Linked DNA regions of Struthio camelus. The protein of the gene in region 1 binds, or shares a complex with, the protein of each later gene. Links are inferred from orthologs where the notes say so. Each region holds a gene or a part of one and is shown in the gene's direction. Other genes may lie near its edges.

Region 1 (7,929 bases):
ATAACTTGCCCAATGCAGCAGCGCAGTTGGGAGAACCAAGTTCCTGCGTGCGAGTGCTCGGGCAACGGGGTGCTTAAACCCCAGGTAACGTTCAGCCAGAGGCAGGCATGGGGGCGGGAGGGCGGCTGGCGTATTAAATACACAGCAGGCACAGCGAAGCAGCGCGGCCTCGGCCGAGAGGCCTGAACCCGTGCCCTCGCCGGGCGCTGCGGCAGCCGCAGGGCGGGTTTAGCCCCGGGAACGGCGTTTATACCTGCATCGCCGTGCGGGCAGCTAGCATCGACGCGGCTCTCGCGCTTCGTCTGTTGCTGCCGTGGGCTGGTGCTCGCCCAGCGCGTAGATCTCCTGCGCGGGCGCTTCCCTTGGCTGATTTTTTTTTGTGTTTTAAAATCACTGATTATCTCCCGACTGCCGCGGCTGTATCCCCGGGGCTGGCCGCGGGCACAGCCGCGGGTCCGCTTCGTGGTGCGTGCTCAGGCTCGAACAAACCGGCGAGGTCTCGTGCGGCCCCCGACTCGTTTTGCCCGGGGGTGAACGGGTGACGCGGGGTGCTTATTTTGGCCTAGGCGCAGTCGCTTCGCCCGACAGAAGCGAACTTCTCTGCTTGCTTGTCCGGCGTGCACCCGCTTGGCACCCGTGCGAGTCTGGGGCTTGGTTGGTGGTAGGTGACTCAACCTGGGAATAAACCTGTTCTCTGATGAAATATGAAGAAAATAACCTAAGACCAAAAAAATAGGGAGAAGTCACCTAGTCCAGCTCCCTGTGTTACATGACAACGCACAGCTCTGTCGAGCCTGCTGTAAACACGCTGCTTTGGGAGGCTGTAAGCCCTCCGCAGTAGATTTGGCTTGGTGCTGTTGGACAGGCTTCCCTGATTTATAACCCGAATCGCTGTCGCTGCCGCTCGGGCCCGTGAGTGCCGCCTTACTCGCTGGCCGTGGACAACATGCGGCTGCTGCCCTCCTCTCGGTGTGCGCCCTGGGCTGCTGCTGCCCCTCCGAGTCCTGTTCTTCAGCCTAAATACCCTGACGGAAAGGAAGGCTTGGGGACAGGGGCCACCGTGCTAACACGGGCCTGTCACCTTGGGCAGCTTTAGGCTAAGGGCTTCTAACAGCATGTGGATCGGCGGTTTGAAAAGGCTGTTTTGGCTGTAAGCGCCCCTATGGAGCTGCTGGGTCCGAGCTGCTGGCCGGCCCGGCGCTGCCCCGGCCGCGGGTGGACCTGGTGGCGGTGAAGCATCTGGCGCTAACTCACTCGGGGGACTCTGTATGTTTTCCTCCGAAACAACGGGGAGCCGGACTCGAGCTTCCCGTCCGCAAAAGGGAGAGCGCGGCAGTAATCGTGCCGCTCTTCGCCAGCCTCGTCCGGGTAAGTCGCGCGATTCTTCTGAGACGATGCTTTCTGACCGTGACCTTGGCCTCATTTCATCTGAGGATTTTAAGGACTGCTGAAATATACCGAGCAGTAATGCAATAATTCATTTGCTCGTTTCACTGAGGCACGGGTGTGGGGAAGGCGATGCCTGCGTGAGCGCTGCACCTGGCTAGAGGAGGGGCGCGCGGCCCCCGCAAGGCCTTAAGGAAGCGTCTACAGTTGTGCTTACATGAAAAATGGCTCTGCCAGCTGTAACGATAAGTTAGACTGCGTGCGTGTAAACAGCGCCAGAATGAAGGCCCGTGGCCGATAGACATCTATCTTTATTATTTCTTTTCTCCCTGAGGTTACGGTGACGGTCCCTCAGTGTGGCGTCTCCAGGCACGCCGACGAAGCGTTTGACGGGGAAGGAAAAGTGGAACGGCTCCGCTGCAGGAGGCGGCGATCTGCCCGTGGAGTATGCAAATACGTTTCTGACCAGGTATTTTTCAACCGCTTTCTTTGCTGTTCAAGGAGGCAGTCAGGTCCTATCGCCAATCCTGCCCTATGGGAAGGGGCAGTAAACTGATGGTGGCTCTAGGCGGGACAGCGAGCTGCCTGCTCACGTGGCCTCTCCGTTATCCTGAGGCTGGGATCGCTGTGCAGATGAACCGCTGGCAGCTGTGGGCCCGAGCGGGTCGTTTTACAGCACATCCCCTTTTTATGGCTGGTTTAATATATTTTTCCGCATGTTTTATTTCCCTTGCAGCACGCGCGGTGCCGTCAGCCAGACAGCCGGGACAGGCCCCCGGCAGCAACCCCACAGGCCCGGCAGCCTCGGCGCCAGGGCTGCCGTCGCAGCGAAGAGCTTTTCTGGCCCAGCCCGCGTCCTCAGCAGCTGCGGAGCCCGGTCCCCGGGGCGCTGGGGCGAGCACCGGCTGCCTCAGGCCCCGGGGGGCTTCAGGTCCCGAAGGGAGCAAAGCGTCCGCGGGTCAATGTCTGGGTTCACCCCCCTGGAAAGGGCTGTTCCAGCCTGAACAGCTGGACTGGGCAGGAGGCAAAGACCCAGGGGGAGCCCACCGCGTTTGCGGGGCGCAGCAGCGCAGCAAGGACGCGACCTTTCCAGCTCGGCCCCGGCAGCAGCTCCCGGTCCTCGGACCCGCGTCCCCCAGGACTGCACCTGGCTCGGCCCTGCTGGATACAGCCCCAACAGTAGCAGCCGGGTTCACTTTGGGGGAAAACAGGGTCTCTCTGCTCCGAGCCAGCGCTCCGCTCACCCCCCCGCACAGGGCACGAGGTGGGTGGGTTGAAGAGGAGGAGAAATCCCCTTGGGAGCAATGGGGCCGGTGCAGGGAGAGACTAAGTGAGGTGTGGGGGGGCAAAAAATCAGCGAGGCTTTTTTTGTGGAGGGGGGCGGGGGCTGAGCCCGAGCCCGGGAGAGGCTGAGGGAAGGGTGTTGGCCCCCCCTCCCCAGCCTACCCTGGGCCTGGTTCAAGCCTACGCCCCCTCCGCAACAGGGACTAAGTGAGCTGTGGGGGGGCAAAAAAGCCTCGCTGATTTTTTGTCCCCACACACCTCACTTAGTCTCTGCCAGCACTGACCCAATGCCTTTAAGAAAGAGGCCAAGCCCGGGGGGGGGGGGGGGGTGCAGTGAGATATTTGTATCCCTGGGGCTGCCAAGTCCCAAACCCTGGGATCAGGGGATGCCGGGGCAGGATTCGTCCCTGGAGATGGTCTCTGCAGCGACGGTGGCCTCCCCCCCCCGCCCAAGGGTGCGCAGATGGTGCCGGGCTCCAGTCGCAGGCAGGTCGCCCCGAGCAGGGGCTGCGGAGGGCGGGCGAGGAAGGGGCCTGCTGAGAGCGGCGCTGGGGCTAAATAAACAAACCCTGGATTGAACACAGCGAGTGTCGCGCTGCTGCTGCTGCTGGGGGGGGGGCTGCACCGCTCCAGTGTGTATTTATTTCCCAGAGCCAAAACCCCGCAGCGGGCTGCGCCCGTGCACGGTCCCACTGCGCTTGTCCCCGGCGCAGCAGCGCAGCCAGGTGGGACGCAGCTCCCAGAAGCGGAGCGAGCGCGGGCTGCGTCCTGCCGCGGCTCCTCCGCGAGGGGTGCGCCGAGGCGACCCGCAAGTCTGCTCCTCCTGGGGCTGGAAAGCGCCTTCAGCGCCTCTGGGCGGCGGCAGCCGGCGTCCCACGAGGCGGCTCCCGGCAGCGGGCAGGGAGGGCGCTGCCAGGGGCCAGGGACCCGCCACCAGGACCTGGCAGCACAGGGCGCGCAGCCCGGCAAAATCGCAAAATCAAGGCGCGCTCGCGCTTCTCACCAGCAGGGACAAAAGCCCCGCTTCCCCGAGCAGGGCCGGGGCTGCGCTGCAGGCGGCTTTGCAGCCCTCCGCGGCGAGCGGCCCCAGCTCCAGCCCCCCGGCCGGGCTGTGACAGCCCGGGCTCCCCAGCGGCGCTGCCGGCCCCGCGGCGCAGCCGGCCCGGGGCGAGCGGCTGGGAAAGCCGCTCTCGGCCACGCCGAGCCCCCGGCAGGGGCGTCCCGCCCAGCCGCGCTCCGGCACCGCGCACACGCGTCGACCGCGGCACCGGGGCCGTCCCGCTCCCACAGACCTGCTGATTGCCGCGGCTCCGGGTCCTCCCTGCTCACCCGCTGCGCCAGGCTCTGCTCCCCACCGAGGGGCGACAGCGGCGTCTCCATCCCGCTTCCCCGGCCGGCCCCAACGGCGCCACGGACACGATCCCGCTGCCTCCTCCTGCTGTCCCGGCGCATCCTCCGGGCGGGCTGGAGAGCGAGCCAGGAGACCCCACAGATGAGGGGGCTGGAGAGAGATCCTGGAGACCACTGCAGCACCGACACCAGGGCAGCGGGTGCTTTCCCCGCCGCCCCGGCGACAGAGCTCGCTGTGTCCCACACACGAGCCCCGGCCGGGCTGGAGGACGCCGCGCCGCCGCTGGCGGCTGAAGGGCAGCTCCCAGCTCCGGCCCTCAGAGAGCAGCAGAAAGGGCCAGCCGCAGGGGGAATCTGGGCTCCTTCCTCACCCCTTTCCCTGGCTTCCAGCGCTGGGGTCCGCAGCGCAAGCAGCGTCCAGCCGTCATCCAGCTCCCGCCGTCGCGGAGCGCCCCCCGGGCGGGCTGCGAGGGTCGCGGCAGGGCGGCCTGGAGCTGGGCAGAGGCCCGCGGGCGACCGCGGAGCCCACCCCTGCGTCACCGCGGCGACAACGAGCGTTACCCGCCGCCGCCCTGCCGGGCTGGCCGCGGCCGCGGCCCGGCGGGCACAGCGCCGCCCGCCCTCGCCCCCGGCCCCGGCCGCGCCCCCGGCCCCGCTCACCCGCAGCCGCCCGCCGCTCCCGCCCCGGCGCGCGCGCGGGAAACCGGCCCCGCCGCAGCCAATGGGGGCCGGGGGCGGAGCGGGAGCCGGCGTGACGCGCTCCCCGGGGGCGGAACGTCCTAACGCTGGCTACCGCCCCCCCCTCTCCCCCCATCGCGTGCGCCTGTCTGCGCGGTGCCGCCGGGGCCAACGCTCCGCCCCCCGGGGGCGCGTCACGCCGCCCGCGGCCCCCATTGGCTGGGCCGCGGGGCCGGTTTCCCGCGCCCGCGCGCGCCGCGGCAGCATGGCCGGCGAGCGGGCGGCGGGGCTGGTGCGGGAGCTGCACCGCGCCGCCGGCGGGCACCTGCCGCCCTTCCGGGTGAGCGGGGGGCCGCGGGGCGGGCCGGGATCCCGGGGGTCCCGAGGGCCCCGGGCTGACCGTGTCGGTGCCGCAGGCGGAGGGGCTGCGGCAGGCGCTGGAGGAGATGCGGGCGCTGTACGAGCGGAACCAGGCGGACGTGTGAGTGCCGGGCCGCGGGCCGTGCCCGCCGCCGGGCCGCGGCGAGCCCCGCACGCCCGGCGGCACCGGGAGCGGCGTCTGCCCCGCCGTAACGTGCCGCCTCCTTCTCCAGGTCCGAAGCGAAGTCGGGGCGGACGGACCTCATCTTCCTCATCCGGTTTCGCCACTGCTGCCTGCTCCGAAACCAGCGCTGCGTCGTGGCCTACCTGTGAGTGCGGCAGTGCCGGACCGGGCGCTCCGGCTCAGCCCCTCGGCAGAGAGCAGCTGTCGGGGGCATGGAGCATCCCTCTTTCCCCCCTGCTCTCTGAAAGCTTTTAATTAGCAAATAGATCCAAAACCACCGCCTTGAAAGGAAGGAGGGTGGAACGACCCCGGTTTTGCACTTTGCTTTGAGGAGTGATCCGAGTGTCTGCATTGCCCAGGTGTAGTGCCAGCGCTGGTCTCAGCAGAGAGACCTTGGAGCGAGGTCTCTCTCTCTCTCTCTCTCTCTCTCTCTCTCTCTGTCCCTTCTTTCTTCCCCCAGGTACGACCGGTTGCTGCGGATCCGCGCTCTCAGGTGGGAGTATGGCAGCGTCCTGCCAAACGCCATCCAGTTTCACATGTCAGCGGAGGAAGTGAGTCAGCCTTGTCCCCTTTTCCCTCCCTTCCACTTATTCCTCCCCAGAAACCATCAGGTTAGCCGAGTCAAAATAGGATAGACTTTTTTTTTCCACTCTAGATGCACGATGTTTTGTGTGCCTTTCTGCAAGTATCCGTTTGTTTCCTCATTGTCCTTCCAAGGATGCAATCCCAAACGGATGCTGAGTGCAGGCGCAGCTTGGCACCGTTCGGGATCAGAAGGTCGTCACCCGATCGCCCTCGCACCCGGCGCGGCAGGCTCTCCCTGTGCTCGTCTCAAACGCCATTTGTAAACTGAAGTACAGCGCTGCTGATCTTGTTTCCAGCACGTGTCCCAGTCTGATCCCCGGCTGCCCTGTGCCTGGGGCAGTTTATTCCCTTTAGAAGAGCTTGTGCGCTCCTTCGGCTGGCATGAGCACGCCTGGGAACAGTGGTCTGACAGCACAGATACACCAGAGCCGATTCATCATGGACCTCCTCCCTCAGCATTAGCTATGCGGGGGCATGGAGATGTCTCTCTCAGTAAAGGTTCTTCTTTAATCTTAAACTTGAGAGAATCACTTTTGTCCCAAGAGTGGCAAGGGCAGACCCCTGGGTCCTAGGCAGAATCCCTGCTGGTTAGTCCCAGTAGCGCAAATCCCTTTGGTCCTGCTAGTCTGGATTTTTGTAGCAGAATCTTGCATCTGTGGGTGATAACGCGGCAGTTTTGTTTTTAAAGGCTTAAAACCGCCTCTTGAAATAAAGCTCTGTTTGCTGTTAATGTCCACAGGTGGAGTGGTTCAACCGGTACAAAAAATCTCTGGCCACCTACATGAGGTCAGTAGGCGGAGAGGAGGGGCTGGACCTTACGCAGGACATAAAGCCTCCTAAAAGCCTGTACATCGAAGTAAGTGCAGGACTGGCGGCTTCTGTCTGCGTTGGGGGTGGCGGGAGGCACTTGACCGAGCCACTCTCCTTTAGAGATCTCGGCTTCCTCCCGAGCTGGGGAGTTCACTGAGCAAAGCCATTCGATAAACTCTGCCCGCCAGTGTTTTACTCTCTCTTCTTCTGAGAGCTCAAAGTATGTTGAAACATGGCATTTCCAACCTGCAGGGAACCGGTGTGTGTGTGTGTGGGGGGGGGGGGGGTCTGAATTACTGTGAAAACTTTATGCAGCATTTGTCTTGCAAAAACTGAATTTTGTCTCCCGAAAAACTCTTTGGATCAACTAGAAACCTCGTTCCCATCTTGAAGATTGTCAACTAGTTTCCTTTGTTGTTGTTTTAAATGGACTTTCATGGATGAGACTAAGCGTTGTTTTATACAATTGATGCAAGAGAGCACGAGCACCTGAACAACGGATTCGGAGGCAGGAGCTGCAGCGCTGTGTTCTGATGGTCTCTTAGGAAGAGACTTTCTAGGGGAACTAAACCTGCCCCTGAAGACGGTTTCACTGGCGTTCACAGCCTGGCATTTTCTGGCATGCGTGGGGGGGGCCTCTCCTGGCAGCGCTGCTCTTCCAGCAGCCTCCGTGGAGGGCCTGGGCTGCCCGCTGGCAGGCAGGTGCAGGAAGAGAAGGTCAGATAGAGGGAACAGGCCACGGGATCCATCTGGTTTTGCGTTTCAGGTGCCTGTCCCAGACGGAGGCTCTGCCAGGCGGGCAGGAACGGCCCCGTACTTACAGTTTGGGGGCGTGTGCGATACGTCGGCAGCGACGTGCTCCTCAGTCGGAGAGCTGCTGCTGCAGAGAGCTGCCCTTTGCCTTTGCAGGTGCGGTGCTTAAAAGACTACGGCGAATTTGAGATTGATGATGGCACCACCGTCCTGCTGAAGAAGAATAGCCAGGTACGAAAGACAACCGAGCGGGGTCCTAACCCCTTTCCTGCTCCTTCTCTTCCCCTGCGCTCCTGTGACGCTCCCCTGCTCATCCCAGCTTCGCAGCACGTTGCAGTTGCTGCACCCAGCGCCTCGCACGCGCTGCAAGCCGCCTGCGTGCCCCAGGACCGCTGTTTGACCTCGTACTGCTACACACGGCGGCGCAGCACAGAGCAGGCCGCCTGCAGCAACGCATCCAGGCGGCCTGGGTCTCAGGGAAAGTTTGTCTGTGTTCTTGTGCAGCATTTTTTACCCCGCTGGAAATGCGAGCAGTTAAT
Region 2 (6,841 bases), on another chromosome or scaffold:
CAGCTCCATCACTGTGGAGGGCTAGCATGGCATACTGGCAGCCTCTTGCCTCATCCTGATCTCACCCACTTTTTTTCTATTTAATCTAGGTCCAGGGCCTGGGAAAGAAAGAGAGAAGACAAATATGAGACACACAGAAATGCTACCCACCACTCCCCTTGTGCGGTGGATCCTTGCACTCAGCTTCCTAGCCACAACAGTCGCCGTGGGCTTATTTGCCATGTGAACAAATAGAACCGTCACCTTCTCTTCATGCCTTCCCTCACCCTGAACTAATCCATCTTCCCCAGGCCTTCTGAGAGAAATTCTCCTTGGCTGGGTGCTGTGATCTTGGCTCTGTCACTAACATTAGGAGGCTTCTCTCCCCAGAAAGCAAAGAGAGTGCTAAGGGGGTTCAGGCAAAGTCTCTCCTGTGCTTGGTGTGAGCTATGCCAGAGACTAAATTTATCACCAGAACATAAGGGCAGAAAAGGCCTAAAAGCAGTGGCCAGGAATTGTCATTGTTTTATAGAACTCCTGCAAAAATCCTACAAAATCAGAAACGCAGGTTTGACATCATGTTTTGCCTCAGAAAGAAAAAGCTCCCCGGAGCCCTGTTTGCTCAATATTTTATATGGCTAGCTGATACTGTGATCACTATTTCTGTGGAGCCACATGGTTCCTCTGGGTTATAGACTGTTTTATATGACACTAGTAGGTTAAATCTTTTTCCAATCACTTTTGGTTTTTAAAAAGCAGAACACAGTTGTTGAAGATACAGTGTTGATCTTTTGTCTTGTTATATAATTTATATATATATATAAAATAAACATTAACGTAAAATCTTCAGGCCTGGTGTTTCCTATTGTTAAAGCCATATCCAGGGAGAATGGAGGTGCCTTTCTGCCTCTCAATTTTATGTCTGTTGGAGCTGCTGCCTCCACAGATATGACAATAGACAAAAGTGGGAGTTACCAGAACCAGACTCTGTTCCCACTCTGTTCTAACAATAACTTGTTGTACAAGCTCAGTCAGGTTTCTTAAGCTTCATAATGGTCTCTATTTCCAGAAATTGAATGAAATTCTGTGACTGTACAAAGTATCTTTAAGAGGTAGAAGCTAGACCTAAGAGTTAGCTGCTATTCTATTAAAAGGAAAAAGGTGACTGGGCTCCTGGCTGGTCTAAACTAGGGCTGTTGCCCCTGCCCTGTAGCAGCTAAGGGCCAGGTGCTGTTAATCATAGTGCCTTTCTGAGAACATCACCATGAACCAGAAAAAGAAGTATGTTCTCACCCCTCACAAACAAAATACATACTAGCTTTTCATCCTACAAGACATCAAAACCAGAGACATCAAGCATGTAACTGCATGTCCTCAACTAGGTAACAATCAAACCAAGCCAGCTTACTGCCAGAATTTGGCATGTACAAGGAGTTCCTAAAGACAGTACAAATAAGTAGCAGTGCTGGAGCAGTCCATGTGTACAGCTTTCTGTTTTCCCCTTTTGCTCACTCAAAACTGGAGGTGCGGCCAGCTGCTGTTATGGCCATAGGCCTTATCTGCTTATGAAGGTCTTCTAATACAGAAGTTAACTGCAGGAGCGGCTGCATCTTGAGTGTAACAGAGCAGATACTGACAAGGCCATTACCTTTCAGCTCAGAGTCCCTTCCCCCCTTTCTACCTGAGGAGCCTCTGTGATCAACCTGTCTTCATGATGCTGCCTGTTCTGGCTGTAGCCTTAATCCCAAAGGCATTTATTGCTACTGATCTGTATTAATGATCAGCACTTAACCTACTCAAAGAGCAAGAATCAGAAGGCAGGTCCTACAGAGAATAAACAGTGAGAAAGAGAGACTGTCATTATCATCAGGCTCTTGTCTATCCTATTTTTCTTGTAAAATCTCTTTTAATGCTTCTCTATTTGGACCCATTCACCGATCCCCAGAAAAAGAGAAAACAAGTTAATTGTTAAAAAGAGAGTCAAATGTGTGAAAAGCAGGGATATTAGGCTTGACAGCTATTCAAATCCTATAACTCATTTCATTCGTTCAAATTTATTTTAAGTTCCACCTACTCAGTCTCTCTAAGCCACCCCAACTAAATCATTATGTTCATTCAACCATGCTGAATAAATAAACCTCCCAAACATGCAAACAAATGCCCAAGAGCTCAGAAAATGCACTCTAGCACAATCAGCCCCCCGCTCTGCTGCCCTCAGAGACCATAGCTGTGACCTCAAAGTTAAGAAACTTGGATTCAAACTGACACCATCCCCCTTCCTGTTCATAGCAGAAGAGTATCATGCTCTGAGTTATCTCACAGCCACTGCCGTACCACACACAGAAGGATGCCAGACTGAGCTAAAGCAAGTCTTCAGAGGTGAACGCTAAAACTTTGCTTTGTACTAATCTATAAGCTCTATGAAAATATCTGGCTTCCCTACAGCATAGCTACAGCTGACAAGATTTCCACCCGGTGCTGTTAAAATCTCCCTTGCAACACACTATGCTTCCCAGCTCTGGTTTTCATTTGATATGTGCAGTACCCCACTTTCTAGGAGCTATAATGGTTTCCCAATGACAAGTCAGCTTTCCCCAAAAATTCAGTAGTAGTTAGCAGAAAAACATCCCAGAGGAAACGTATCCTAAAAAAACAGTCTGTTTATATGCGTATTTGGCTTGCTGTGTAAGTACTGTCTTCCCTATGGGACTCTGGGCAGTCCAACCACCTGCCATTCCCTTTTCCAGTATGTCCCAAAGCAAGGATGACTCCTTGCCAAATGGAGTGACTTGGACATGACTCATGTCCAAAGCACATGACCCCTCCCTTCCCCTCCCCTCCCCTCTCTCCCTTTTATGGACCTGTCACCTGAACTAAGGACTAGCCCTCATCCCCCTGTCCCGATGTCAGAGCTCGAGGGCAGGTTGCATCCCAGAAGAGCTGCCCCAAAAGGCAGGAGCACAAAAACAAATCTGGCCCATACAATCTTTGCAGAAAGGGCTCTGAACGCGCTCGGAGGCACCTCTCGCGGCTCAGTAGAGTGCTCCTCATCTGGCCTATGGTACCTGTCACTTCAGAACTGCAAAACAGTTGGGGCTGGCAGGAACCGTCTGGTCCAGCCCCCTGCTGAAGCAGGGTCACCTACAGCAGGTTACCCAGGACCGTGTCCAGCTGGTTTTGAGTATCTCCAAGGACGGAGACTCCACAGCCTCTCTGGGCAAATTAGCATTGATTAAACATTGTATGAACGCTAACTAATCCCCACAGATCTCTGTTATCCCCACTCTGCGGGCGTCAGAGGTGACCCCAGCGCTGCCCAAGGACACTAAAGGCTGCCACTGACCCGATGGGCTTCAGAGGCAGCTGTAGCCCCATTAAACTGCACCCCCCTCCATGTTTGGGGGGGGGGGGTTGGCCCGGGGCCAACACCTGGAGCGCCAAGCAGGGTGAAGAGCTGCCAGGCCCTCAGCTGAACACCTCCTGCCAACGCCTGTCAGCAACGAGCATCTAGGCAGGCAGGAAGGCTAGACAACCCAAGGTTTTCCCTGCCTCCGCCTCCAGCCTTGCGATAATCGCCGCTTTATTTTATTCGTGTCCATTAACGTCGTCACTCGACTCACGGCACGCAGGGACCCGCCCCGCCAGCCTCGCCTCTAGGCGCTCTCTCCCCCCCTCCCCGGCAGCTATGGTTTCGCCCGCCTTCCCCCCCCCTTCCCCCGCGCCGCCTGCAATAGTCCCGCCCGATCCGCCATTTTCCTCCCCTTTTCCCCTCCCTTTCTCTCCCAGTTTTCGCGCCAAATGCGCCCGGCCGAAAGGGGGCGGAGCGCTCGGCTGCGGCGGCGGCCTGGGCCGAAGGGGGCGGGGCGGCGAGGGAAAGGACGGCCAGGGCCAATCCGGGGCGGCGCGCTGCGGGCGGGCCAATTAGGAGCGTGCAGCAGCGGCGCGCTTGGGAGGGGGCGTGTGTCCGGTTTGTTAGCGCCGCGCGCTGCTTTTGCCGCGAAAAGTGGCGGGCCGGTTCCCGGGGAGCGGCGAGGTGCGGAGCCGGGCGGCGGGGGGGGGGGACGGACGAGTTGCGGTTGTCCCAGCACCAGCCGCTCCGGGTCTGGGGTCCGTCCCGCGGGCGGGGGCGAGGGGGCAGTTTGGGGGGTTATTGGCGCAGTCGGTGGGGCAGGGAGAGCAGCGCGGGGTGGGGGTGGGGAGAGTTTTTTGGGGGGGGTGGGCAGGTTGGGAGGAGTAATGGAGTCATGGATGGGGCAGGGGCTGCGGGACCGCGGTGTAGCAGGGAAGGCACCGGAGGGTGGGGACCCCCTGAGACATTTGGGGGGAGGAAGAGGCGGGCAGGGGGCTGACCGTGTCTTCCCACCCCTTCAGTGAATCGTGGTTGCCATGTCCGGCTTCGACGACCCCGGTATTTACTACAGCGACAGTTTTGGGGGTGACGTGTCGGCCGATGAAGGGCAGATTCGGAAGTCCCAGCTGCAGAAACGGTTCAAGGAGTTTCTACGGCAGTACCGGGTGGGCACGGACCGGACAGGCTTCACCTTCAAATACAGGTGCTGCTGTGACTTGTAGCAACCGCTCTTCTCTCTCTGTAGCCTTACTCACTCACTCCTCCTTGCACGTCCAATCCGCTCTTAACCTGCCTTCTGCTATGTAAGTCAAAAGGATACAGTAGCGTATTTTAGCTTGTTTCCTTCCTGTAGACCCCGAAGAGCTCTTTGTTAAGATAAGAAATGACATTGTTCCCATTTGAGCTTATGGGAAAACTGAGGTTTGGCATTCTCCCAAATTCTTAGGCGGTAGTCTGGTCTACAGTGGCAGAGGTAGGAATAGCGGGATCTGCATCGTCGAACTTGCACTTAGATCAGAATTTCAAGGTCTGTTTTCAAGTTTTAGTGCTTCCTGGTCCAGAGTTTTGGTCTGATCGGGAGTATTAAAATTGGTAAAGCACTGTTCGCTTATGCCCTCTGAGGCTCTGAAGGTCCCTTGGCTATCATTTTGCCTATGCAACTTGGAGAGACTACGGAGAGAGAAGATGGAGACATATCATGCAAGGGTCAGGGAAATCTTTCACCTTTCATGTCTGAATTTCTTGCACCCTAGTTTTTATAAGGGGAATATTGCCTGCTATGCTATTACATCCTGTTTTTTAGAATCGCAGTTTAGGTACAATAGACATTCTGTATAGGAGTTCCTGAATTGCACATCTGATATTGTGATTCTAGAATTAAAGTATTAGCACTAAATTTACACTGTCACTGCAAGCACTAGTGTTCCTGGTCTTGTGTCACATTTCAGAGAGTATTTGGATGAAAGATTTGCCCAGGACCCCCTTGGCTTCTCTTAGAGCTCTCCCTATTTTCCCAATTTAAGGAAATTGGGAATTTCCCAATTTTCCAAACTAAGGACTCCATGCAGAACCTGCCTTCTCTTCTCCCTGTTTAGTGACAGGGTCATTGTGGAATGGTGGCTGGACACGTTTGTTAAGATTAGTGCTTTCTGCTCTGCAAGCATTTACTACCTACTGCCTTGCAGGGATGAGCTTAAACGGCACTATAACCTGGGTCAGTATTGGATTGAGGTGGAGATGGAAGACTTAGCCAGCTTTGATGAAGATCTTGCTGACTATCTGTACAAGCAACCAGCGGAGCACCTTCAGCTGGTAAGGATGGAGGGAATGGGAGATCTGGTGCGCTGACATTCAGTCATGTAACGAGAGCAGTCCTGATATTACACTGTAGTATGTCAGTAATAGCCTAGTTATTCCCTTTGTAGTTGGAAGAAGCAGCAAAAGAAGTTGCAGATGAGGTCACCCGTCCTCGTCCTTCAGGTGAAGAAACTCTGCAAGACATCCAGGTCATGCTGAGATCAGATGCCAATGCAGCCAACATCCGCAGTTTGAAGGTGAGGTGAATCTAGCTGCTCTGTGGAGAAACAGGTGGCAGGGCTTGCTCGTGAGAGGGAGGGATTGCTGAGGGAACTTTAAGTACTTGATTATTTACTTCAGGACACGAGTTGTTCACTAATTTACGCACAGGAATATAATGCGTCTTACATCTGACTGCACAGGGTTATTTTGATTGGTTCCTGCTTTGGGGACGTTACTGCTGTTAGGGGTGTTCTAGGTGTAGTGTTTTATCCTCTTACCTCTCTTGCTTTGAAGGCAGAGTAGTTAAAGCCATGCGACCTTCCCCTGCTACTATAGAGCAAGAGTATGGAGTTGTCAAGAAGTGTAAACTTCTTTTATTCTGGTACCCCCATGTTTCTTTAACATCTTGTATCATGGTTAAATTTCTTGTCAGTCTTCCAGCAATGTGCTTTCTCACCTTCCCTTCACCTTTTCCCTTTCAGTCTGACCAGATGTCCCACCTTGTGAAGATCCCTGGGATTATAATTGCAGCAACACCTGTGAGAGCCAAAGCCACCAAAATAGCTATCCAGTGCCGCAGCTGCCGTAACACCATCAGCAACATTGCTGTGCGCCCAGGCTTGGAAGGTTATGCCCTGCCCAGGAAATGCAACACGTAAGGACTGGAATGGAGATGAATCTGCCAGGGTAGTGGGACAAAAGACTCTGTCGTCTTCTTCCCCTTCATCCCATGCATGCTGCATGGAGTCAGCAACCTGTCCCACAAGGTGGAAGTGTCTGCACCGCTCTGAGCCTCTACCTTCCAGTTGCCCTAGTGCCTGCACCCATCCTTGGCCAGTAGCTTTTAGCTCTGTTCATCTAGGAGTAACCTTGATCATGGATGTTCTGTGACCACTGTTGCAAGCGGGGTTGAAAAAGCTGGTTGAAAAAGCTTCTTCCTCTAGACCTGCATTTCCATTGCTTTCAGCGTCTGCTCTTCCCTATTGCTGCAGA

What was found.
Region 2: GINS1 (region 1) and MCM5 share a complex: the UniProt entries of both Homo sapiens proteins name them as parts of the CMG helicase complex. The link is inferred for Struthio camelus from reciprocal best matches to the Homo sapiens genes GINS1 and MCM5.

What each region holds. Positions count from the first base shown.
Region 1 is NC_090944.1:139,909,529-139,917,457, reverse strand, and holds the start of GINS1 (DNA replication complex GINS protein PSF1), read left to right. Parts: upstream 1-4,911; 5' UTR 4,912-4,963; coding exon 4,964-5,038; intron 5,039-5,114; coding exon 5,115-5,179; intron 5,180-5,291; coding exon 5,292-5,387; intron 5,388-5,702; coding exon 5,703-5,793; intron 5,794-5,897; coding exon of another isoform or gene 5,898-6,095; exon of another isoform or gene 6,096-6,304; intron 6,305-6,566; coding exon 6,567-6,683; intron 6,684-7,546; coding exon 7,547-7,621; intron 7,622-7,894; coding exon 7,895-7,929. UniProt on the Homo sapiens protein: Required for correct functioning of the GINS complex, a complex that plays an essential role in the initiation of DNA replication, and progression of DNA replication forks.
Region 2 is NC_090942.1:59,823,542-59,830,382, reverse strand, and holds the start of MCM5 (DNA replication licensing factor MCM5), read left to right. Parts: upstream 1-3,830; 5' UTR 3,831-4,012; exon of another isoform or gene 4,013-4,086; intron 4,087-4,350; 5' UTR 4,351-4,365; coding exon 4,366-4,532; intron 4,533-5,514; coding exon 5,515-5,641; intron 5,642-5,754; coding exon 5,755-5,883; intron 5,884-6,330; coding exon 6,331-6,503; intron 6,504-6,841. Other genes in the region: HMOX1 (heme oxygenase 1), read left to right, coding at 90-226. UniProt on the Homo sapiens protein: Acts as a component of the MCM2-7 complex (MCM complex) which is the replicative helicase essential for 'once per cell cycle' DNA replication initiation and elongation in eukaryotic cells.